Rattus norvegicus: one gene and its partners. The protein of the gene in region 1 purifies or fractionates together with the protein of each later gene. This does not show direct contact. Links are inferred from orthologs where the notes say so. Each region holds a gene or a part of one and is shown in the gene's direction. Other genes may lie near its edges. The genes, in order: Polr1d, Uxt, Polr2f, Polr1b, Polr3c, Polr1e and Polr3b.

The links.
Region 2: the proteins of Polr1d (region 1) and Uxt purify together in Homo sapiens (affinity purification with mass spectrometry; 3 studies listed by BioGRID and IntAct, with this or other methods). This does not show direct contact. The link is inferred for Rattus norvegicus from reciprocal best matches to the Homo sapiens genes POLR1D and UXT.
Region 3: the proteins of Polr1d (region 1) and Polr2f purify together in Homo sapiens (affinity purification with mass spectrometry; 4 studies listed by BioGRID and IntAct, with this or other methods). This does not show direct contact. The link is inferred for Rattus norvegicus from reciprocal best matches to the Homo sapiens genes POLR1D and POLR2F.
Region 4: the proteins of Polr1d (region 1) and Polr1b purify together in Homo sapiens (affinity purification with mass spectrometry; 5 studies listed by BioGRID and IntAct, with this or other methods). This does not show direct contact. The link is inferred for Rattus norvegicus from reciprocal best matches to the Homo sapiens genes POLR1D and POLR1B.
Region 5: the proteins of Polr1d (region 1) and Polr3c purify together in Homo sapiens (affinity purification with mass spectrometry; 3 studies listed by BioGRID and IntAct, with this or other methods). This does not show direct contact. The link is inferred for Rattus norvegicus from reciprocal best matches to the Homo sapiens genes POLR1D and POLR3C.
Region 6: the proteins of Polr1d (region 1) and Polr1e purify together in Homo sapiens (affinity purification with mass spectrometry; 3 studies listed by BioGRID and IntAct, with this or other methods). This does not show direct contact. The link is inferred for Rattus norvegicus from reciprocal best matches to the Homo sapiens genes POLR1D and POLR1E.
Region 7: the proteins of Polr1d (region 1) and Polr3b purify together in Homo sapiens (affinity purification with mass spectrometry; 6 studies listed by BioGRID and IntAct, with this or other methods). This does not show direct contact. The link is inferred for Rattus norvegicus from reciprocal best matches to the Homo sapiens genes POLR1D and POLR3B.

What each region holds. Positions count from the first base shown.
Region 1 is NC_086030.1:13,084,005-13,087,069, reverse strand, and holds the end of Polr1d (DNA-directed RNA polymerases I and III subunit RPAC2), read left to right. Parts: intron 1-1,873; coding exon 1,874-2,144; 3' UTR 2,145-2,565; downstream 2,566-3,065.
Region 2 is NC_086039.1:3,678,554-3,682,703, forward strand, and holds the start of Uxt (protein UXT), read left to right. Parts: upstream 1-1,350; 5' UTR 1,351-1,356; coding exon 1,357-1,454; exon of another isoform or gene 1,455-1,499; intron 1,500-3,096; coding exon 3,097-3,178; intron 3,179-3,315; coding exon 3,316-3,383; intron 3,384-3,652; coding exon 3,653-3,760; intron 3,761-4,150. UniProt on the Homo sapiens protein: Involved in gene transcription regulation. Acts in concert with the corepressor URI1 to regulate androgen receptor AR-mediated transcription. Together with URI1, associates with chromatin to the NKX3-1 promoter region.
Region 3 is NC_086025.1:112,599,537-112,603,009, forward strand, and holds the end of Polr2f (DNA-directed RNA polymerases I, II, and III subunit RPABC2), read left to right. Parts: intron 1-2,597; coding exon 2,598-2,669; intron 2,670-2,841; coding exon 2,842-2,932; 3' UTR 2,933-2,973; downstream 2,974-3,473. UniProt on the Homo sapiens protein: DNA-dependent RNA polymerase catalyzes the transcription of DNA into RNA using the four ribonucleoside triphosphates as substrates.
Region 4 is NC_086021.1:136,804,130-136,807,629, forward strand, and holds part of Polr1b (DNA-directed RNA polymerase I subunit RPA2), read left to right. Parts: coding exon 1-56; intron 57-787; coding exon 788-944; intron 945-954; exon of another isoform or gene 955-2,156; intron 2,157-2,211; exon of another isoform or gene 2,212-3,368; intron 3,369-3,500. UniProt on the Homo sapiens protein: Catalytic core component of RNA polymerase I (Pol I), a DNA-dependent RNA polymerase which synthesizes ribosomal RNA precursors using the four ribonucleoside triphosphates as substrates.
Region 5 is NC_086020.1:186,944,463-186,947,962, reverse strand, and holds part of Polr3c (DNA-directed RNA polymerase III subunit RPC3), read left to right. Parts: intron 1-61; exon of another isoform or gene 62-197; intron 198-412; coding exon 413-668; intron 669-766; coding exon 767-952; intron 953-2,252; coding exon 2,253-2,338; intron 2,339-3,500. UniProt on the Homo sapiens protein: DNA-dependent RNA polymerase catalyzes the transcription of DNA into RNA using the four ribonucleoside triphosphates as substrates.
Region 6 is NC_086023.1:64,085,123-64,088,260, forward strand, and holds part of Polr1e (DNA-directed RNA polymerase I subunit RPA49), read left to right. Parts: coding exon 1-11; intron 12-971; coding exon 972-1,105; intron 1,106-3,138. UniProt on the Homo sapiens protein: Component of RNA polymerase I (Pol I), a DNA-dependent RNA polymerase which synthesizes ribosomal RNA precursors using the four ribonucleoside triphosphates as substrates.
Region 7 is NC_086025.1:20,936,134-20,939,633, reverse strand, and holds part of Polr3b (DNA-directed RNA polymerase III subunit RPC2), read left to right. Parts: intron 1-2,044; coding exon 2,045-2,158; intron 2,159-3,500. UniProt on the Homo sapiens protein: Catalytic core component of RNA polymerase III (Pol III), a DNA-dependent RNA polymerase which synthesizes small non-coding RNAs using the four ribonucleoside triphosphates as substrates.

The sequences.
Region 1 (3,065 bases):
TGGTTTACAGTAGGTGTTGGGTGCATTCCGGAGGGGGTCAGGTTGTCTGCAGGCAGAGAGGAGAGGCCTACCTCATCTCGGCTACTCTCTGCCACCAGCTTTTCACTCTCAGAGCCTCCCACCCACACACAGCGACATCCCCAGCGGGTCGAGTATCAGAAAGGAGATCGCTTCTCCAGTCCTGGAGACGGGCGGTTTTCTGCTCCATGCGGACTTGCTGCTTGCCAGTGGGTAGTTCCTGCAGCCAGGCACAAGAAAGAGTTAAAGAGACTTGTTTTTTTGGCCTTTGGCTTTTTTACGCTCTGGTGGATAGACAAACAGGAGGTGATCTCAGTTGAGCGGGGAGGCTGGGAGGATTGTACATTTGTCATAGATAAGCCCTTTGCCATATTTCAGAACCACAGAAATCCAGTCTCTCTCTTGTGCTTTAAAATTATGGGGCCAGAGAAGTTTGCTGAGACCCCACCCCACCTCCAGCCGAGGGACTGAAGCATCGTCGGCCCCTGTGCCAAGCTCTTCTCTTTTTGCCTGATAGCACTCTGCAGCATAGTGAGTGCTTCCTGGTCCTGCTGGCCACCTCCCTCTCCTGTCCGTACTGAAGGTAAATTGGAGTCCTGAGTGGACTGCTGTGCAGTCACAGTCTGTACCAGTGGTCCATGTGCTGCAGCCCTGGGGCTTTCAGTCCGCACAGCAACCCTTTGTATGCCCACCTGCTTCTGTCCCCTCATAGCAGACATCGCCCACTGAGAGCCTGGCTTATCTTTGTTGCACAGGCCTAGTATAATGTCCCGCATACATAAGGTTTTAAGTATAGTAAATGCTTTTACATATGCATTTGACACAGGCATATATTCATCCAGTGTTTCACATTCCTTTTCGGGACAGTGTTGGGGACGTGGTAAACCTTGGGAGTATGTAAATAATGAAGGAGTGTCATTTCTCAGATGGCCACACGCTGAGGCATTTGATTGCCAGATTGTAATGCACTAACTACCACGGGTGATTATAGTAGCTGTGGCGGTATTAAACAACGACATGAGTTGTGGTCAACCATGGCTTCGGGATAAATGTCACCTCACTGCATGGAGGGCCTGCCCCTGCCCCAGACCTTCCATTCATTCTAGACTCGTAGTCTCCATACTTGTAGCCTCTGTATTGCAAAGGGTGTATGTGGAGCAGAAGATGGGGTGCCATTGCTGGTGTGGTGGCTTTGTCTGCAGCACAGGGGCAGCGAGCTGCATTTCGTGCCTCTTGCTCTATGACCAAGCACCCTCTTGTCTGCTCTAAAGATAACTGGGAATCAGCACTCGCCAGGGCCTGTCTGTCATGCTGTACTCACCTGAGTCAGTCAGTGCTTCTTTGCTCCAACATTGTCCATGCCGTGACTGTCCTGTGTCCCTGAGTGGCCAGTCACCCCTCACTGTATGTGCCTCTGCTCATTTGCTGGAAGGAACCTTAGCTGTAAGTGCACTGACACACTTCTGCCTGCAGTTGCTTCCCTGCTTGCTGGTAGCTAGACACTTAGACTGTGGTGAGTTTTCCCTAAATCCACCATTGCCGGGCTGTGGTGTGACTGCTGTGGGGACTGTAGAGTCTGATGAGGTAGCACTGTAACGTTCAGGCACAGGGCCATTGCGCCACCTTTCCAGGGCCTTGGCTGACCTGGTACTTGAATTGACCTGGTACCCCACGCTGGTCTCAAAATCATGGCAGTCCTCCTGCTCCAGCACTGTATGGCAAGGAAAGCCAGACAAACTCAGGAACTGGTTCTGTGGGGCCTGAATTCTTTTGTACTGATCTGGCTCGTGGGCCAGACAGGGAGGGAATTTAACTCTTGCATTTATGATGTCTTCTTCCCTCTTCACATCCACAGGATGAAGTGTCCTCTCGCTGGTACGAATAAAAGATTCCTTATTAACACAATTAAGAACACATTGCCCTCCCATAAAGAGCAAGACCACGAACAAAAAGAGGGCAGTAAGGAGCCTGGCAAAAGTCAAGACCAGAAGGAAACAAGTGGGAAGAAACACAGAAGCCACTCCTACAAGCGCAGCCTTCACTCAGCCCGGGGCTCAGTGGGCTGCTCTCCTCCAAGGAAGCGGGCCTCCCGGGACAAGTGTGACCCAAGGCCCAGCCGGCGATGAGATGGCTGCAGGGCCAGCCCAGCCCGTACTGCACCTGCCACTGGGCGCAGCGAGGCAAGGAGGCCGGGAGGTGGCGGGCTCTGACATCCGAAAGTGACTTCCTCAGTGGGTCCTTTGTTTTACGGTGTCTCTTGGTACTGTGTTGTTGTTCTTGTTGCTCTTGTTAACAGGAAAAGAAAAACTTTACTAAAGCAAATCGTAACTACCTTATCCTGAAGGCGTCGTGGTGAGAGCAAGCTGATTCCGCATTGCCCTGCACATCGATGTTGTCTTTATCTACCTTACCTGAAGTTCGTTTCAAACAAGGAGTTTTAGAATTTGAGATTTTGAGCTTGTTAGAAACTCCTAGTTTTTTGATGTACTGCACTTTTGTGGTCATTTCCCAGAATTTCTCAAAAAATAAATAAAATATTTAAAAACACTATGGTTTCCTCTTTTGGGTACCAGATGCTAAGCTCACAGTCTGAGGGACTCCGCCATGCTGCCAGTCAGCGCTCACTCGGAGAAGCAGGCACAAGGGCAAGTATAGGCTAATACTGTGCCCCATTTCACTGCTCCCCAGACTCTCGGCTATGGATGTGTGCCATAGCTAAAGCTGTGTGGAACTTACTGAGAACAACACTTGCTTCCTCCTGAACCTTCCGGCACCCTCCCCCAAGTTCCGGCCTTCCATATTAGTGAACGTCTACTTCGTGGCTGCAGATTCTTCTCATTTTCATTTAAAGACAACAACAAAACCAAAAACGTTTGCTCCAGGGAGATGACTCAGTGGGTAAGGTTGCTTGCCACAAAGCCAGTCACTTGAGTTCAATCCCTAGAACCTATCCAGAAGGAGACAGCCGACTCCTACAGGGTGACCTCTGACCTCCATGTGCACACGCGCGCGCACACACACACACGCACACACAAATAACACTCTGA
Region 2 (4,150 bases), on another chromosome or scaffold:
CTGTTTTAAGCACACCAAATTGAATTTTAAATATATGTAGCACGAAATTTTGGTTTTGGTTTTGGTTTGGGGGACAAGGTATCAAGCAGAAATTCATTTAAGATGATTTTCTTAAAATTTGTCTCTGTTTAAACATTTTTATGTGCCCTTTGGAGGGTGAAAACCAAACTATGTGTGTAATACACACACACACACACACAGAGAGAGAGAGAGAGAGAGAGAGAGAGAGAGAGAGAGAGAGAGAGAGAGAGAGCGCGAGCCACAAGATATCCTGCCTTCCTTATAGATTAGTACCATAATACTTGCTGGTCTATAGGCACTCTTGTGCTTTTTAAATTATTAAATGCTTAAGTGGTCTCAGTGAGGTTTTTGTTTGTTTGGTTTTGATTTGGTCTTTTGTTTTAAAGAGAATATGAAATTGGAAGGGGAATGTGGTAGGAAGGGTCTAGGACGAGTTGGAGGGAATAGGGAGTGGAGATAATGAAAATATATTGCATACATCTATGAAATTCTCAAAGACTAGAAATGTTTCTAAAAGAAAAAAGTAGGGACTATATGGATACCTCAGTAGTTAAGAGCATTGGCCATTCGATCCCAGCATCCACATGGTGCACACAAACTGCCAGTAGTTCCAATTCCAGGGAATCCCACAACTTCTTCTACCCTTTGTGGGCACTGCACACATGTGGTGCATAAACATGCAAACAAAACACATAAAATAGGAAGGAATTTAAGAGTGGGGAGGGAGGAATACAGAAATGGTTCATCAGTTAAGAACACACAACTCTTGCAGAGAATGTGAACTCCATTATCAGCACCCACATCACGGTAGCTCACAACTGCTCTCACACACACTTCAAAGAAATTATAAACACTTAACTCCCTCTCCCTACCTTCCTGTAAGTCCACCTTTCCTCAGAACCCGCCAAAACTCATTAAACGTCACCCAAACCAGTCTCCCGCCAGCTCGCGACTATTTATTTGCCTGCAGGCCAACAGCGTGACCCTGCTACCTCCAGGGACTCATTCAGGCCCCGCCTGCAGCTCTTCCCTTAAATGCGTCTTCTCGCACGAAGGGCAGCCCCGCCCCATCGATTATGGTTGGCTCTGGTGCTGGAAATGCGTCATCCATCCGCGCCAGCCGGAAGCCGCGGTTCGTTATAACAGTTATTGCTGGTGGCCCCTAGGTGAACGTCGCGGTTGCGTATCGGTGAGTGAACTAGTCCTAAAGTAGGGTTGGGCAGAAGGAACTCCATAGCACGAGTCGAAAGAAGTCGTGCACAATATGAGAACTTTGTGAAGTTAAACTGGAGCGCTCAACGTGGGTCCTCCCCCTTCAATCCCCAGGAGCACATAATGGCGACGCCCCCGAAACGGCGGGCCTTGGATACGGTGGGGGAGAAAGTGCTGCGGTATGAGGCCTTTATCAGTGACGTACTGCAGCGAGACTTGCAGTGAGTGGCAACGCGGGAGGCGTGACGTTTGAGAAATTCGACGTGGTGGGTGGGATTGAATGCGGCCAAACTTTCGGGTTGGCCAACCAGATTTCTGGGAAGAAGGTTGACTTCTGGGCTGAGATTTGGTTGGAACTTATCCCTTTAGCAGAGCTCCGACCATGTTTGTTGGTTTAAAATAGTCATTCCGAACCTAATGTGTTTCTAACTAAGCCATTTAATTAATATTTATGAACAAGTTGTACCTTACTTTGCCTCTCTAGGCTTTATGAACTTCGTTCATCTGTGAAATGGAAAAGTTTATTAGGCCTTTTTAACGTGGTGTTTGAGTTTTAAATGTGTCAACTCCAACACATTCTGCCACAGGAGGGAGAAGCAAGAGGATCTTTGTAAGCTGGAGACCAAACTGGGCTACAGACTGTCTCAAAGGGGGAAAAGTAGAATAAAGCCAGGCTCAGGCTCCATGGTGTGTGCCATCTCTAGTGGAGAGATGGGGAAATTCACGTTTTTAGCCAGGATTACAAGCCAGCCTTGAAATATATAACAATATTTTATTTAAAAAAAAAAAACTAGTGTGGTGACAGAGGCCTGCAATCCCTGTACTTGGGATGGTATCAGAAGCAGGATAATCCAGAGTTCAGGGTAACCTTCACTTACATTTCGAGGTTGTGTATGGCCTGGGCTCTGATATTATGTCTCAAAACAAGCAAATTAGGGCCAGCAAGATGGCTTGCCTCCAACACCATGCCCTAACGTAGATCTCTAGGAGCCACATGATGGAAGGAAAAAGATTCCCAAAAAGCTTCCAGGTGTATCATGGCACCTATACATGCACACAAAATAAACACATGTTTAATGCAGATAAACCCAACTACTATTATATTGAGGCTGAGAGGAGAGGATTGTTTGGTGTGATTACAAATTCAATACCAGCGTGAGAAACTCAGATATTGTCTCTGGAAATAACCTGGATAACTTTTATGAAAAAGGAATTTGCCTCCAGTGCCTGAAATACACTAAAAGCTCAACAACTAGATGATTACTATTGCTGTCATTACTAATCTGAATAAAAAGTTAGGTATTGAGAACTAGGGCTGTGTAATCATGCTAAAAGAAACGGGGAGGTATATTTAGGGTGAAGATGGGACATTTTAATTGGCATAAGTCACTGAGTAAAATGCAATATTTATCATTGTAATAGGTTCTAAGTATATAATGCTTACCATTTGGCTAGCATTTAAAACACTTTGTAGTAGACACTTGATTCTAATGACTCCTATATGCTAATACTACCATCTCTATTTTCTATGTGGGGAAACTTAATCCCAAACAGGTTTCCTACTTTCCATAGTCACATTACTAGCAAGAGGTAGAGGTCAGGATGAAGTACAGTCTCACCTATATTTATTGAAATGCCGGCTGTGTCCTTATCTATGCCCCATCATGAGTGTTTGGGGGAGCAGGCACAGGGTCTCACTATGTTACACAAGCTGGTCTTGAGCTCATAATCCTCCTGCCTCAGCCCATGGATTGCATCCATGAACAACCCCATCTGGCTTAAAATGCCTAGTAGGGCATGATGTGCTGCATCTCAAAAGGAGTAAGACTGCCTAATATTCACTGTTGTATTTCTACGTATCAGAAAGGTACTGGACCATCGAGACAAGGTATATGAGCAGCTGTCTGTATACCTTCAACTAAGAAATGTCATTGAGCGACTCCAGGTAAAGGCTTTTAAATTGGGTGCCACTTTGTGTATATGTACAAAGAAGGGAGGCGGGAAGAGAACCCCCAGAACAAAACCTTTATCTGCCTTAAAAGTTGGCCACTGACACCTACCTCTTTTCTCCTGGCCCTATAGGAAACTAATCACTCGGAGTTATATATGCAGGTGGATTTGGGCTGTAACTTCTTCGTTGACACAATGGTGTGAGTGTATTCTCTCCCCTCTAAATTTCTCCCTTTTTTCATGGAACAAGTATTTCTTAGTATTTTCTGTATACCAGGCTTTAGTAGCTTTTATATTACATTAAGATATAAGCAACATGTTGTGGTCGTGGGAGAAATGAACACAAAATATCTGCCCTTACAGAGCCTTCACTTGGGGAATAGGAAGGAATAGGAAACACCTTAAACTATATACAGTATGCTAAATGGTAATAAAGACTTCTTCCACTTCCTCCGACCTCTTTCCTCAGCCCAGATACTTCACGCATCTATGTGGCCCTGGGATACGGTTTTTTCCTGGAACTGACACTGGCCGAAGCTCTCAAGTTCATTGACCGAAAGAGTTCCCTCCTCACAGAGTGAGTTCATTCCAGGAGGATAGTATCTAAAGGCTAAGGGTGCAGGGAAGTGGTAAGAACATTTGCTTAGCATGTGTGAAGCCCTAGGTTCTATCCGTATCACACACCACACAAACACATACACAAAATATATAAAAGTCAGATACGGCAGTAGTTCATACCTGTAATCCTACGACTCTAGAAGATCAAGCAGGAGGATCCTGATTTTGAAGCCACTCTGGGTGATAAAACAAATCCCTCTATATAAAACAACAGAAAAAAATAATAAATAGACATCATAAATTTCAATACTCTACCCTTTTCCCCGTAGCTACCTGGGATGGTACTTTAAAAAAAAAAAACATACTACCTTCCTCTTCAGGGCTAGAGCTAAAAAAAATGAGGATGCAA
Region 3 (3,473 bases), on another chromosome or scaffold:
TCACAGGAGTGAGGCGTCCTGACAACTCAGTCTAAGCCAACTGGATGGTCATACTCTGTGGGAGTAAGATGGATCCTGCTTAGTCCGGGCTTTAGTGTTCCTTCCCCTAGGGAGCCCATGCCCTCTGTTCAAGCACAGCCAGGCTGGATTCTGTACACTGAGGCCTGGGCTGTACCTTTGCTTAGGGGCTGAATGAAATGCCATCTTGGATAGCTTTTGGCGAGTCCAGTCTGGCCTGCGTGCGCCACCTGCTGGCTGATGTCACTCACCTCATCTTCACTGGATGATGGTGACATGTTTATTTTAGTAGCTGCAGCACAAGACAGTCACTTCAAAGCCTGCGCTTGCATGTCTGTGGGGCACTGATGAGCGATGCCCTTCAGTTACTGCTGTGATGTGAGGAGAGAGTGGACACGGCCGGTCAGGTCAATGGTTACTTATGTAAAGCACTCTGTGTATGTATGGCAAACTAAACAGGACCTTACATGTTTTACTGCTGAGCTATACGTCAAGTTTTGGGGACATTTCATTATGTCAGAAAAGACATTTGGTTTCTGCTCTTTGGAAAATTTCAGGATTTTAGGATTAGCAGAGACCAGAATATTTAGTCACAAACTAATAAATGTCAGTCTCAAGGTGGTCCCCAGAGTCACCCAGGTACCTCTGAAGGTATAATTCTCAGACCCCCTCATGAGCTGAGGGATTCTGTCTGGATCAGCAGTTAAGAGCACTTGGTGCTCTTGTATCCAGTGTCCTCCAAAGGCACTGGAAACCTCCATGTAAGCAAAACACCCATACACATAAGAAAATCATTGGTCTTTTATGGCCTGGAGAAGGCACTGGCCCTTGATTTTGGATGCTTGTTCGTAAGTCTGAATCTATTGGCGTCAGGCTGTCCAGGGTTATTAGAAGCGTCTGTCTGCAGGAGACAGGCCTGGAGTTGATGTGCCCTTGTTTGCCATTGGAAGTTTTGCTTGGACCAAGCATTAGCTGGGGCCTGGGCCCTCATAGTGGATCATGTGTGGTTCTGGGCCACCAGACAGATGTTCATAGTCTGGTGTGGACAGTAGTATGGTGGCTTTGATGCCAAGAAACGCATGTTTAACTCACCGGGGGCACAGAAGACAGATTCCCAAGGCTCAATGGTTGAGAGCACAGACTGCTCTTCCAGAGGTCCTGAGTTCAATTCCCAGCAACCACGTGGCAGCTCACAACCATCTGTAATGGGATCCGATGGGACACTCTTCTGGTGTGTCTGAAGAGAGCAACAGAGTGCTCACATAAAAAAAAAAAAAATTAAGTATATCTTTAAATAAAAAAAAGGAGACAGAGGTGGGTGAGGACAGAGAGTAGAAATGAAAGGGATCTGTGCCTGTTGTCCATGTTGTGACAGAAGTCCAGAGGACAGGCTTCTGGCTTAGTACATTTGGCTCACAGTCCTGGAGCTTAGAAGGTTCAAGAACATGGCAACTCACCTGTGGGGCCTCAAGCTGCATCGTAATATGGCAGAGTGCTGTTATTTGGTAGAACTGAGCAACCTTGCTAGCTTGGATTTCTCTTCCTTTAATAAAGCCACTTAGGCTATCATGGTGGTCACACCTTTGTGGCTTTCTTTCTTTTTTTTTTTTTTTTTAATTTTTTTTTTTTATTTATTTATTATATATAAGTACACTGTAGCTGTCTTCAGACACACCAGAATAGGGCATCGGATCTCATTATAGATGGTTGTGAACCACCATATGGTTGCTGGGATTTGAACTCAGGACCTCTGGAAGAGCAGACAGTGCTCTTAACCACTGAGCCATCTCTCCAGCCCCTTTGTGGCTTTCTAAGAGCTCCTTCTCCAATACCGTCGTCATCTTAATTTGGGGGACACTTAACCATAACCTAGGGGAGGCATGGAAGTTTGTTCTGGCTTGAATGAGGGGCCAGGCTGGAAGAGTGTCACTCTTCTGGGGGTGTTGCTATGCAGGGCCTTCTCTGATGGGGTATGACATGCAGATGACTTCAGTATGTTACCTGGGACATATCCCAGCACAGTGGTGAGGAGCAGACCTTGGCTCTGCCTCTCTGCCTACGTGACCTGGGGCAGGACACCTTTTATATTGGATAGTTTATGTATTTACATTTCAAATGTTATCCCTTCTATGAAGATGTTCCCACTCCCACCGCAACACCCTGGCATTCCTGTACACTAGAGCTTCACCTTTCTGTACCTAGTTTCCATGATAGTAAAGTGGAAGTCAAAGTAGGCCTCTCCCACTGAGGCAGAGGTCATGGCAGGTAGCTGTCAGTGTCTGGCGTGCAGAGCCTGTCTGCTATCTGGTTTTTGTCATTGTTTCCCCAGTGAGGTAGGGATCTCTTCTTCAATTTTAGAAGAGGCTGTTGGGATGTGGAGAGAAATTCGGTGACTTGTGCTTACAGGCACAGTTTAAATCCAGTCTGCCAGCCTTCCCTCTGCTCAGTGGTGGCTCCCTGAACACTGCTGCCACCAGGCCTGCCTGTCCAGGTGACCTTGCTAGATGAGGATCAGGACAGCAGATCCACCTTCTCTGAGCCTTGTCTGCTGTCTCTCCAATCTTTCTCTGTCTCTGCAGGATGTGTGCCCCAGTAATGGTGGAGCTGGAGGGGGAGACAGACCCTTTGCTCATCGCCATGAAGGAACTCAAGTAAGTCTGCCCCTCCTTCAGAGTATCTCGGGCCTCTTTAGACCTGTGGCTCATGCATGGCCAGCCCCCGGGAGCCAAGGGAGGGCATTTCTGTGACACGTGCTACTACCACCTGTTCTCTGCTGGGAGCCAGGGCACCAGCTCTCACTTCATTCGACTTCTCCCCACACAGGGCCCGGAAGATCCCCATCATCATTCGCCGTTACCTGCCAGATGGAAGCTATGAGGATTGGGGCGTGGATGAGCTCATCATCAGCGACTGAGCAGAGCTGTCAGGCTGTGCCAGGCACCATCTCTATGCCCATTTTATACATGTAAATAATAAACTTCACTCTTCACACCCCCTCTGCCCCTGTTGCCTGCATGCTGACACCTGCTGCTTTCTTGTTCCTGCCCTACTACAGGATGGGCATACATTGAGGTGACCCTGTGACTGTTAGCTCTTTCTAAAGCACCAGGGCCCCCATCCCATCCCTCCATCTCTCCCCATGCACCAGAGCAAAAGCTGCTGCAGGGAGACACCTCAGCTGCCTTCTCAGCAGACAGATGAGTCTTTGTGCCCAGGGAGCTGGTTGCCACGGAAACCCCCAATTTCCTTTCCAGTGGGGACTGGCTGCAGGGGCTTCTCCCTTCTCAGGAGTATCACAGAGCAGGTTTCATCAAGCCAGCCATTGTTCCTAGGGACCTGCCTTGAGCTCTTATCGAGGACTCAGATCCCCTTTCAGGAGCGGTGCTTTAGCAGGAAGCGTGGGGGTGCAGTGATCCCCCACTGTCCCCAGGCAGAGCCCTGTTGGGCAAGGCAGC
Region 4 (3,500 bases), on another chromosome or scaffold:
GGCCTGTGCAGAACCTGGAGCTGGGCAAAGAAGAGCTCGTTGGAACTATGGAGCAGGTAGGTACCCGCTGCAGTGCTGCTTCTGTAGAACGCAGCGTGCAGAGCCTCAGCCATCGCTTTCTAAAGTATTTGATAGGAGTCAAGCTGACGCTCTGGCTCTCTTTGCCCAGTGCTGCTGTCTTGCCACGCTTCCAGGAACCTGGGGGAGGGAGGCTTGGTGCTCACATGACTACCCTTTGTGCTGTCCAGCATTCAGTTCCTTTACACTTGGCTCTGTCCCAGTTGCTAAGACCAAGGCATCCTGTTGACTCGTCTCGGTCATCACCTACGTCTTTGCCATTGACAAATAGATTTGTGCCTACTTTAGAAAACTGAAGCTGGGTGTTGTGGTGCACAGTACCCAGCCTTGGGGAGGCAGAGGTAGGCAGATCTGAATTCAAGGACAGCCAGGGCTACACAGAGAAACCCTGTCCAAAATAAATGAACATTTGTCTTCCTTTCTGGCCCTCCACAGTTGGACAGGGTAGATACAGGATGACTATCTCAGGGAAAGCATTAGGGAGGTCCTTCAGTGGCGGAAAGCTTGGCATGAAGACTCTAGGTCCTAACTCTAGCACCTTAATAGCAGGGAGTAGGACATCTGTCTGGAAGCGGTCCGTGCTTCTGGCAGAGCTCATAAGTGATTTGGGTGATACAAGCACTTGGCAGCCCCAGCACCAGCCCCTGGGAAGCAGCACGACCGCCACAGGATTTCATGCCTCTGCCTTCCTGCCCTCCCTCTGCTCCAGCTCTTCATGAACATTGCCATCTTCGAGGACGAGGTTTTTGGTGGAGTTTCCACACACCAGGAGCTCTTCCCTCACAGCCTGCTGAGCGTGATAGCCAACTTCATCCCCTTCTCTGATCACAACCAGAGTCCTCGGAACATGTACCAGTGCCAGATGGGTAAGGTGGGTGGGGAGGGTTGGGGGTGAGCACAGCACAAAAAGCATTTGTAAATTAAGTTGAAATGATCAAACTTACAGTGAGTTTCAAGAATAGTATGAAGAATGCCCACAGATGAGTCATCTGTTGTGTCCCCAGTTTGCCCAGTTTGCTTTTTCAAGCATAATGGTGCCTTCCCCCACACATCAGTAAATGTCTGCAAGAGCAGTATGCACTCCATATTTTAGTCCTCATTCTCTTTGAAGGGAGGTGGGGAAGCAAAGGCCTGTGTCCAGTTCTCTTGTGTCCCATTAGTGTGTGTGTTTGTCTTCCGTGGTGCAGAAGAACTCTGTTTTGCATTTTCAAAGATGGCTTCTCTGCTGAGGTCCTGTGACTTGCACCGTTACCATCAGGTGCTTCCTTACTGCTTTCAGTACTCCTCATGTCTGTCTGAGTCACGCTCTCAGCATTCGTCATTTCTTTACCCCCCACTCCCACCCCCACCCCCACCCCCAGCCTTCCTTAGGCTGGTCTTGAACTCTGTATCCTCCAGCCTCTGTCATCCCACACCACACTTGGATCCTTGTGGCATATTGTTGTTCACTTAATACAGAGCCTCTTGTGGTCATTATTCCGAAATTTCTTTTTCATGCTCACCTGAAGGACATCTTCACTGACTATATAATCCTGAGTGGACATGTCCTTTTATTTCACTGTGTCTGTTACTTCTAACTAGAAGGCAGGGCTTGCAAATTATAGTTTTCCTGCTTAGTGTACTGTTTTCCCTCTCTTTAAGATTTGTTCTGAAGCTGGACAAGATGGCGTACATACCTTTAATCCCAGCTCTCAGGGGGCAGAGGCAGGCAGATCTCTTGAGATTGCAGCCAGCCTGGTCTACAGAGCAAGTTCCAGGACAGTCAGGGCTACACAGAAAAACCCTGACTTGAAAATACAAAACAAAAGGACTTGTTCTTTATTTTTGTTTTCAGGAGATTAGCTGTATGTCTAGATGTGACTCTCTTTGTGTTCTGATAGCATTTACTGGTCTTTATAAGAAAAAAACTGATCAACTTTGGAACATTTTCAAGGGTTTCAAAACTTATTTCTTCCTCTTTATTGCTTCTCCTCTTTCAAGACTTAGCCATGCGTTTCATAAATAACCCTGTGGTTATTCACCTTGCTGTGTGTGCAGGTTATGTGTGTGGGTGTGCACATTGCAGCATGAGTGTGGAGGTCAGGGGACAGGGCAGCATGAGGGTGGAGGTCATAGGACAGCATGAGGGTGGAGGTCAGAGGACAGGGCAGCATGAGGGTGAAGGCCAGAGGGCAGGGCAACATGAGGGTGAGGTCAGAGGGCAGGGCAACATGAGGGTGAGGTCAGAGGACAGGGCAGCATGAGGGTAGAAGTCAGAGGACGGCATGAGGGTGGAGGTCAGAGGGCAGCTTTGTGGAATAGTCTCTCTTCTTGCCTTTATGCTGGTTCTAGGAGTTGAACTCCAGTTGTCTTTCGGTCTAGACCTGTTGTGTTGGGGTGTTTGTTCTTGTTACCAGTTTGTTTTCTGGGGATTTGTTCCCTCTTCACTATGGGCTTGTTTTCCTGTGTATGTTGAGCCTGATTAGTGGATGCTGTAAAGTTACTGTTCCAATGTTGGGGTGGTCCCAGGACTGCTGTCCACTGACTGTAGTTTTTCTTGAGTGTGAGTTATGTTTACTGTTTACACTATGTTATAGTGTTTCAGTAATCTCTGTGTCAGCTAACGTCACTGGTAGCCCTTTAAGCTAGGCCCCTGATAGGCCTCTCTGAAGGTGCGGTCAGCCGCCAGTCTTTTTTTTTTTTTTTTTTTGGTTCTTTTTTTTCGGAGCTGGGGACCGAACCCAGGGCCTTGCGCTTCCTAGGCAAGCTCTCTACCACTGAGCTAAATCCCCAACCCCCAGCCGCCAGTCTTGACTGATGTTTAACTGGGTTCTTAGTCTCAGTTAAGCTACTTGGCTCAGTCTCATGCAGTTCTCACCAAAGGTTTACACTCAACATATGTGCAGAGTAAAGGCTCTTCCTCTGTTAGCCACATTTAAAAAAAGGGGGGGGGGGTTGGGGGATTTAGCTCAGTGGTAGAGCACTTGCCTAGCAAGCACAAGGCCCTGGGTTAGGTCCCCAGCTCCGGGAAAAAAAAAAAAAAAGAAAAACAAACAAACAAACAAAAAAATACCTCTTACTTTCCAGCAGCTGCCATGCTATGAATTCTTTTCCTTGATTTTTCTAAACATTAAATAATTAAAAACTTATTTTATTATTTTTATTTTTGAAATCTCAAAGCCCATCCTCAATGACACACATTTCCTCCAACAAGGCCACACCTACCCCAGCAGGCCACACCTACCCTAGCAGGCCACACCTGCCCCAGCAAGGCCACACCTACCCCAGCAAGGCCACACTTACCCCAGCAAGGCCACACCTACCCCAGCAAGGCTACTAATCCCTCTCTAGCTGTGCCACTTCTGATGCCTGAGCATTCAGACATAGGAGCTTGTTTGGGTTTACTGTACCAGGTAGTGCAGTCTGTCGAGGCAAGAGGTGCA
Region 5 (3,500 bases), on another chromosome or scaffold:
CCTCTTGATTTCCTGCACTGACATTAGCTACGCCAACCCGAAGAGAAAGTAAGATTCTATGTGCAGTCAAGACAAATTCAGTCCCCGCCCTGCCATGGTGGGAACTGGCCTAGATGGCTGCCAAAACAAGTTCTGCTGCTCATGGGCTCTGGGTCCCCTAACCTGGGACCTGGGGATAAGTTTGGCTGCAGACACTGTACTCTAAACATAGGGGTTCTCAGGGCAGACAAAAGGCAAGTCCTGGTATTTCAGCTCAGGCCCAGTTGCTTTAAAAACAAAATTTAAAGAGATTCATTAGACTCTTTGCTAGTGATCTGATGCTTACTAGGCTGTGGGAGGTATGCTGTATGTTCAGCAGTGGTGAGCTATATAGCGTCAGGCCTTTCCTGACTTTCTTTTGGGTCCTATCTAGGTGAAAAAAGCCCTTTGTGTCCTCATTCACCATAACCTGGTCATCTATCATGTGCATAAACGCGGTGTGGTGGAGTATGAAGCCCAATGCAGCCGGGTACTGCGGATGCTTCGGTACCCCCGGTACATCTATACTACCAAAACACTGTATGGTGACACTGGAGAGCTGATTGTTGAGGAGCTTCTGCTGAATGGCAAAATGACAATGTCGGCTGTTGTGAAGAAAGTAGCAGACCGACTCACAGAGACCATGGAGGGTCAGTACTGCATCTAAGCTCCCTGCAAAGGCATAGATAAGTTAGCTGCTCCATCATCTAGACCTTCTCACCCCACCCCCTTTCTTCCTGTTGTACAGATGGCAAGACCATGGACTACGCTGAGGTGTCAAATGCATTTGTTCGACTGGCAGATACTCACTTTGTACAGCGCTGTCCCCTGGTTCCTGACACTGACAGTTCTGACCCCGGGCCGCCGCCACCTGCCCCAAACCTTGTCATTAATGAAAAGGACATGTACCTAGTTCCCAAACTGAGCTTGATAGGTAAAGAGTTTACATCCTGGGGGTTGGGGATTTAGCTCAGCGGTAGAGCGCTTGCCTAGTGAGCGCAAGGCCCTGGGTTCGGTCCCCAGCTCCGAAAAAAAGAAAAAAAAAAAAAGAATTTACATCCTGGAATTGTGGCTTGCCTTAATTGGGGATTCTTCTTCACTAATTGTTATTTGAATGAGCATCTTGATTGTTTACCAGTTCCTTGCTGTGTGCCAGTCACTGTAGTATGTAATAATGAGTATGTAATAATGTAAAAGCCAGGATCCCTGCCCAGAAGACATTAATCAGCCACACAGATATGTTATTCGGGGTCTGAAGAGGTGGCTCACTGGCTCTCTTCCTCAGGACCCAGATTCAGTTCCCAGCACCCATATGGCAGCTTACAACTGCCTGTAACTCCTGTTCCAAGGGATCTGACTCCATGATGCAGGCAAAACACCAGTGTACATAAAATTGAAAAAAAAGAAACAAAAGATATGTTATCCACTGTGATAAGAACTATGAAAGAGCTAGCTATTTAAAAATGTGTAATGAGGGGCTGGGGATTTAGCTCAGTGGTAGAGCGCTTACCTAGGAAGCGCAAGGCCCTGGGTTCGGTCCCCAGCTCCGAAAAAAAAAGAACCAAAAAAAAAAAAAAATGTGTAATGAGGGACTGGTTTTGTGCAGGTGGTTAAGGCTTACGTTTTTCTGAAAAAGTGGAATTTGACCTGGGTCTTAAAGCAGAAGTAGGACCTGCCCAGTGAAGTGACCTAAGATGGGTACTTTTTAAAGACTTGTGTGTAGTAAGAAGAAGAAATAGAGCCTTCGAGAAAGTGAAAGGTCAGAGTCACAGCAAGGTGAGCAAAGTTCTGAGAAGCATGGGAGAAGAGGAGAGGGAGGACCAGGTAAACAGGCATTGCAGAGCAACTGTTCTCTAAGCAACAGCAAAGGAAGACTACGCAGGTGTTAAGCAGGAAAGCCACATGGTCTGATTGACATTGTAAATTGTCTAAAAGACTGAAAGGCCAGGGCAAAGGCAAATAGAGACGGACTATTGAAAAAGTAGTAGCATGGTTTGTACTGCTGCATGCATGGGAGCGCAGTGCTGCCATTCACTGATAGGCGGTGTAGGAGGAGAAGCAGTTTGAGGGCACAGACTATGGATTTTCTTAGGTGGCGCCCCCACTGACTGGAGTTTCTCATGACTCCTCGGCCTCCTAAACAGCTCCTGAAGCAGACAGCTACAGATGTCTGTGAGCTTCGCTTCCTGCCATCATGTGGTACAGTCTAATTATTTGGTGACTTTATTTGGCAGGAAAAGGTAAGAGGAGGAGATCATCTGACGAAGATGCTGCTGGAGAGCCCAAGGCCAAGAAACCAAGATGCACAGATAATGAGGAGGTAACGGGGCTTCCTGATTAGCAGTCCTCACCCTAGAGCATCCAGAAACAGCCCTCAGATAATGAGCTCTGACAGAACCTACATGTTCCTGGCTAAGAAGGAGTGGATTATGAACTTCAGTACACTATTCAGGGGCACCAGTGAGGACAGAGTGTCCCTGCTGTCTCTGTCCACCTCTCCTGCCCTTTATACTGAGGAACCCTGAGAACTCCTGGGAGTCCAGGGGACTTTTGTGGAAGGACAGCCACTCCATTTCCCTTCTGATTCTTAACTTATTTCACTAAATAGTTGTACTAACTTACTCAAAAGAGAAAGCAGGGCTGGATGTGGAACACTTGAGATACAGAGGCAGGAGGATCTCTCTAAGTTCAAAGCCAATCTGGTCTACATACTTACATTATGATTCATAACAGTACCAAAATTACAGTTATGAACTTGCAACAAAAATAAATGTATGGTTGGGGGTTACCACAACACAAGGAACTGTATTAAAGGTCACAGTATTGGAGTGGGGGAGATGGCTGGGGATGTAGCCTAGTTGGTAAATTGCTTGTGGCATGCAGGAATCCCTGGGTTTGATTCCCCAGGACCAAATAAAAGCAGAAATGGTGCCCAATGTGATACCTTTAACTGCAACACTTAGAAGGCAGAAACTAGCAGATATCTATGAGTTAGAAGCTAGTCTGGTCTACAGAGTGAGTTCCAGGAGCTACATAGTGAGGCCCTATCTCAAACAAAACAAACCAGAAATGGCACTACATAGCTATAATTCTAGGACTCAGAAGGTAGAGACAAGAGAATCAGAAGTTATTCTTGACTACAATGTAAGTCTAAGGCCAGCCTGGGCTACATGAAACCCTGTTCCCAAAAAACCAACAACCAAATGAGATTTTTCAGCTAAGCTATCAAGTCCTAACAATCCTTTTCCCTTAGGTGCTGAAATTACAGACAGGTACAAGATCATGTCTGCCTTGTTACATGGATGCTAGGAGCCAAACTCAGGTCCTTATAGTTCCACAACAAATGTCTTTAACTTCTGAGCCATCTGTCAAGCCCCCAGGACTATCTGTCATCTCTTGGCAGCACTTCTCCAAAACTCTCCTCAGTGATCTTCCTTCTGGCATTCTTACCCAATTAGTGGCCAGAACTACTTCTTAGCTAC
Region 6 (3,138 bases), on another chromosome or scaffold:
GAAGAGAACAGGTACTCGTGGGTAGATGGGGTTTCAGTGAGTCATGGGAAAAACCAGTCAGATAGAAAGCAGCCCCGTGAAGCATGGGTGGCGTCTGCGCAGCCTGGAATGAAGGAAGGAGCAAGCTTCGATGCTAGGCTTCCAGGAGCTGTGGGTGGATTCAAGGAAGAGGAGTGGTCATGTGTGTAGAGCCTGTAGCTGGGAGATGATAGTAAGGTGCTGTAGTCTGGGGCCGGGGACCAAAGCTTGCCCCGCCTCTACTGTTTGTTGAAGCAGAGTGTCACTGTCAGTGCCCAAAGGCCAGCTTGGGAGCCCAAAGCAAGGCTTCTCTGTGACAGCATGCTGACAGACTTAACTAAAATTAAATACGGATTCTAAACATTATTTATTTTAAATAACAGAGATTATCCATCCCTCTTCTCTTTTGCCATTAAAACAACTTTTTTTTAAATGATAGTCAGATTATTTCTTAGTTCTGAGCCTTTTCTTCTAACTATTCCTTTCTTTTCTAAGATTTTGTATGTGTGTATGTGTGCCTATGACATGGGTGTCATGGGATCCTCTAGATCTGTAGTTACAGGCTGTTGGGAATGGCCCAGGGGAGTGGTAGAAAACAAACTGGAGTTCTCTGCAAGAGCAGCAATACTCTAGTAAGCCATCTCTCCCCTACTCTTTAAAAATTTGATTGTGCGTGTGTGTGTCTGAGTGTGTATGAATGCCTATGTGTTTGTGTGTGCGTGGTGTATGTGTTTGCGTGTGGGTGCACGTGGAGTTTGATTATAGGAGTCATCCACTATTGCTGTCTACCTTATTCAGTGCGATGGAGTCTGTCAGTCAAACCTGGTGCACCCTGAAGGGCGGGCCTCCTTAGCCGTCTTGCTCTGGGTGTATGGACGGTGTGCTGGGGAGGGGGTGTGGCTCCTGAGAGCCTGCTTCCCCTCATGTGCTGCTGTGACCCTTTCTTGTTTTAGCCACTGCTCCTTCATCATAGAAATGCTGAAGTCTTTGCCAGCAGACGAGGTGCAGCGAAACCGGCAAGCCCGGAGCATTTGGTTCCTAGATGCCCTCCTCAGATTCCGAGCTCAGAAAGTGATAAAAGGGAAAAGTAAGGCCCACAGCATTCTCTTATCCCAGCTCTTTCCAGCTGCTGGCTTGTCTGTGGTTCTGACATCACCTCCATCGATGTCTGTCCAGGGCCTCTGTGCACCTTGCCCTTCCTCCTGCTCCCGCTGCCTGCCTGAGCCGCACAGGCCTCTCCTCTCTGAATTTCTTTGTTCTGTTCTGGAAATGGGGACAGGGTGGATGGGGCTTCCAGGGAGCACATTCACTGCTTTTGTTTTGTTAGGAAAACACTGTATCCAGGTCAAATGGAACAAAGAGGGAGTGCGTCAGGACAGACAGCAGTGACAGAGTAGTCAGAGCTTCGATTTGCACCTTCAGGCTGCTTTGGTGTTGTAGGACAGCACAGTCCCACTGTATATTCCTGGCTGGACTGGAACTCTCTGTACAGACCAGGCTGGCCTTGAACTCACAGAGTCATTTGCTCTGCCTCCAGAGTGCCCCATCGAACTTGGCTTGTCTCTCTGTCTCTCTCTCTCTCTCTGTCTCTGTCTCTCTCTCTCCCCCTCCCTCCCTCCCTCTCTCTCATTGTTGTGGTAAAATTTAAAAAGGAACATTTTCTATCTGCTCCCGCAAGCCGGACCCACTCGCTCCAGCTGCTACTCTGCTATGAGGTCTGCAGGCCGCCCTCTCCCGGCTGTCTCCTTTTAGCCGCCCTCTCCACGAGGTCCCCTAGGTGCTAGTTACCACTCTGACACACACATATCTGCTGGCCCTGCGGGTTCTCGCTCCTTGAGGGCAACAGAACCAGATCCACACACTCCAACTGCCTCTCAGCCGTTTCTTTCACACACTGTCCTCTTTAGCCCAGTAAAATCAAAAGTTCCAGAAACTTGTAATTTAGCAATTAGATTTACACGTTAAATTCTCAATCCACAATTCATCCACACAGAAAATTCACTGCCAATTGATAAAGATATAAACCACCCACCTAGACAAGATAAAGTCAATCTAATTCACCTAAATCTGAACCATCCTCCTCCGAAGACTCCATCTCGATCCCCCTTCCTCCTCTCTCCCGACTTACAAAAACATTGTCCCTGCTCCACTCTCTATTGTCCAATCATGTATTACCTTGACATCAAACTACATTTCCTTCCTTCCTCCCTTCCTCCCTCCCTCCCTTCCGCCCTTCCTCCCTTCCTCCCTCCCTTCCTTCCTCCCTTCCTCCCTTCCTTCCTCCCTTCCTCCCTTCCTCCCTCCCTTCCTCCCTTCCTTCCTCCCTCCCTTCCTCCCTCCCTCCCTTCCTCCCTCCCTTCCTTCCTTCCTCCCTTCCTTCCTCCCTTCCTCCCTCCCCTCCTTCCTCCCTCCCTTCCTTCCTTCCTCCCTTCCTTCCTACCTTCCTCCCTCCCTTCCTTCCTCCCTTCCTTCCTTCCTCCCTTCCTCCCCTCCTTCCTTCCTCCCTTCCTTCTTCCCTCCCCTCCTTCCTTCCTTCCTCCCTTCCTTCCTCCCTTCCTCCCTTCCTCCCTCCCTCCCTTCCTTCCTTCCTTCCTCCCTCCCTTCCTTCCTCCCTTCCTCCCTCCCCTCCTTCCTTCCTCTCTTCCTTCCTTCCTTCCTCCCTTCCTTCCTTCCCTGTTTTGGTGGTAGTGTTATAACACTTTATTTCAGACTGAGAAAGTCAGTTTGTAAAGTTAGAAATTCCAGTTCCTCCATGCGGTGGTAGCACAGGCCTTTAATCCAGTCACTTGAGAAGCAGAGACAAGCAGATCCCTGAGCTTGAGGCCAGCCTGGTCTACAGGGTGAGTTCCAGGACAGCCACACAGAGAAACCCTGGCTTGAAAAAAAACTCACAGTTCCACCTGTTTCCAGGAGCGTATGTGGTGGCCACACACTCATACCTACCGTGCAACTTTAAAAACACAATGGCTCCTTTGCTCCGGCCACATTCTCTGCTTAGCTCTGCCAACAGCCAGCTGGTGTCCTGACTGGGATGGGTCCCCTGCCCTTCCCTGGGTCCCCTACCCCTCCCAGCTAGCTTCGCCAAGTCACCAGCCACTACTCTGCCTTTGCCCGAGGATG
Region 7 (3,500 bases), on another chromosome or scaffold:
GGCATTGATACAGGTTTCCTTAAGTAAGTCATTCTTAGGATGTTTAAAACAAAATGAAACAAAACCTCATCCTATGAAAACTCTAATGGTTTCCTTCATTTAAGTATGGTTCAGTCATGTAGTTAGGTGTCCATTTTTTAAAAAACACAGTCATCGCTAGACCTATGGCCTTCATTTCTACTCAGGAATGAAATTATCCAGAGAGTGTGCACCACCACAGGCCCCATTCAGTGCAGCTTCCTAAACATAAGTGCACTGAAAGATGCGGCAGGGCCACCTGCTGTGTGCTATGCACAGCTGTGCAGACAGCTGAGGTCTACACTGCTCCCTTGGTGCCCACATGGGTTTTCCTCTCTTTGCCATTCACCTCCATGCCATTCACTTCCATTCAGGGACGCACTGAGCCTGCTTGGGAGGGCGTTTGTGCCCCTCCACCTGCCCCCACCCATGTTCCTGATCTTAGCTAGACGCAGCAATTGCATGTATGTGGTTTACTCTGTTGGTGATGAAATAGCATTGGGTTGTAGGTCCATGAATTCTACTATGAGTTACCATCCCTGAGGACCACAGTCACTTACTTATTAGAACTGCAAAGACCCTTGGCTGACCACCTTGATGCACAATCAAAACTGAATTGGGGAGGTCATGCAGTGTCCATGACAGATAGGGACAAGAGCAGGGTCTCTCAAGGCCCTTGCCACCATGACTTCCTGGGGTGCCATTGGGCTGAAATTCACAGAGCAGCTCAGTGACTACAGCGGCCCTCACTCGTGTACTGGCACAGGAGAACTGGGGCAGGCAGGCTGGGCCAAAGACTGCAACCGCCTTTCTGCAGTTGGTGGCTTCCTCTGCTCTTCCCACTTGACCACATGCTTTGCTCAAAGTCAGCTTGTTTTTCAGACAGGCCGCTGTGGCAGGCAGAGAGAGCACGGGATCTGAACCTGGTCACCCCTCTCACTGCTCTTACCTCACCTCTCGGGCTCACTGGGCTGTCTCTACACCGTCAAAAGTAGAGGCTCAGTACACTAGATTAAACAGCGCTGACGAGAACTTCCTTCTCTTTGAGGAAGGACACTTGGGGAAAATGAAGAGCGTTTTGAAGGTGTCCAATCCTTGGCTCTTTGCTTCTGACAAGACCTTTTTTTTTTTTTTTGTCACAGCACTCACTTTTGAGATTTTTACTATATTTATTTATATTTATTCACTAGTGGGATAAGCTGTGTAGCAAACATTTATCGAGCACTAGTTGTATGCCAGGCAAGCTCATAGATGCTGGCACCACTGTGGCAAAAGACAAAGAACTGACTTCTCACGGGAAGACAAAAGGCAAAGAGACAAACTGATTATACACAAAGATGCTGGGAGCGCTACAGGGTGGAGTGGTGGAAGGGGTGGTGGAGCGTGAGGGAGGAGGGCTCCTTCAAAAGGCTCCCAGCTGTAATCCTAGCATGGGGGAGGTGGAGACCAAAAGCTTGCAGGTTTGACAGCAGCCTGGACTGTGTGGAAGTTCCAGGCCAACTGAAGCTGCACTGTTGCCAGGGCCATGCTTGTACCTGACAGAAGAGCAGTGTCAGTGTGGGCCAGGGGGAGAGGTCCTGAGGTAGAAGGTGTGATAGCCATGTACAATTTGGACTACATAGAATCTCAGAAGAAGCCATTGGGGATTCTAGAGCAAGAATATGCTCTGATTTCCGGTTTGGGAGGACTCTCTCTGGATGGTTCCAGTAGATCAGATTGTCTAGTGCTGAGAGTAGACGAAAGATCCACCTAGGAAGAAAAGCTGTTGGCCTGGTGCGGCAGGTGAAGAGGGTCATCCTGCTGATGGTGTTTCTCTGTGAAAGCATTATCTTCTCAAACAGTGGCGTGCTTCTGTAGCTTGGTCTAGCCTTGCACTGACTACAGGCTGAAGCTTGTCCTCACACAGTCGGACACAATCTCTGAGAAGACAATTAAGGAAATCCTCCAGATGATGAGACCTAGTGCAGGCTGTCTGTCCAGTTACCCAAACTCTGTTGCCTAAACCCAGTGTTGCCTTTTCTTTCAGTGAGCCCTTAGAAGCCTACATCTATTTTGGGCCTGTGTACTATCAGAAACTGAAACACATGGTGCTGGATAAAATGCATGCCCGGGCCAGAGGACCACGAGCTGTCCTTACCAGGTACAGAAGCACTGCGTGTATGTGTGTGTGTGGTGTGTGTGTGTGTGTGTGTGTGTGTCTATGTGCGTGAGTGTGTGTGTGCATGCGTGAGTGTGTGTGTATGTGCGTGTGTGAGTGTGTGTGTGAGTGCGTGTGTGAGAGTGTGTGTGTGAGAGTGTGTGTGTGTGTGTGTGTGTGTGTGTGTGTGTGTGTGTGTGTGTTGGGGCTTTGGGGGAACTGCTGATTTCTCTGTGGAGGTAAACAGTCCCAGCCAAGTTTCTGTTTCCCTTAAGATACCAATTACTTAGGTGTGTTAAACATTGCCTTGGTTACTTTCTATTGTTGTGATTAAACATAAGGAAAAGCAACTTGGGAGGAAAGAATGTAATTAACTCTTCAACTGTCAGGTGATACTCGTCACAGAGAGAGGCCAGGGCAGGACCTCAGGCAGGAACTGAAGCAGAGGCCTTAGAGCTACTTACTGTCCTGCTCCTCCTGCTGTCCGATACCTCTAAGACCACCTGCCTAGGGACAGCACCGCCCACAGTGAGCAGTTCCTGCCACATCGCTCAAGAATTAGTCCAGAAACTATCCAACAAGCTTGCCTACAGGCGACCTCAGGAAGCATTTTCTCAACTGGGGTTCCTTCCTCTCAGAAGACTCTAGCATAGGTCTAGTTGGGAAAAAGGAAAGAAAAGAAACAAACAAAAAACTAGCCAGCACAGTTGGTCCCATGTGAACTCAGCACAGTACTATTCAACAGTAACGTTTCCTTTCTTGTTTGTCCCCACAATGTCATATTAATATTAATATCATAATGTAAAACATCCCAACTTCTAAAAGTTCCGTGGTCTTTAAAAAAATTCAAACATTTTAAAAGTCCAAAGTTTCTCTAAAATTCTGAAGTGCCCTCAGTGTAAGCTCCTGTGTAACCTAAGAACAAGTTGGGTATTTCCTTCCTTCAAGAGGGAAGAGTCATGTAGAGACACAGCCAGTTCAAGGCATGGTGTCAGGGTTGTGAGCTCGGAGTTGGCAGGAAAGGAAGTTAGGACTGCTGTCAGCCTCCTGTAACTACACGTCTTCATGTGAAGAGAAAAAGTATTGGGAAAAATAAAATTACATCACAGGCCTGTTAGATGGCTCCATGGGTAAGGGTGCCTGCAGGCCTCGTCTCTCCACAGTCCCTCTCATGGACCAGGTACAGGCACACAAAGACAGGTGTCCAGTAAGGACCTGCTCCCTTATTCTCACTGAGCATGCTGTACCGGGAAGAGACTGGGAAGCCACCGTTTGGCTTGGCTTCTTAAAAGCCAGACTCAATCTTGACCATAACTTGAACAGGTGCAATGCCTGTTAAAATCAT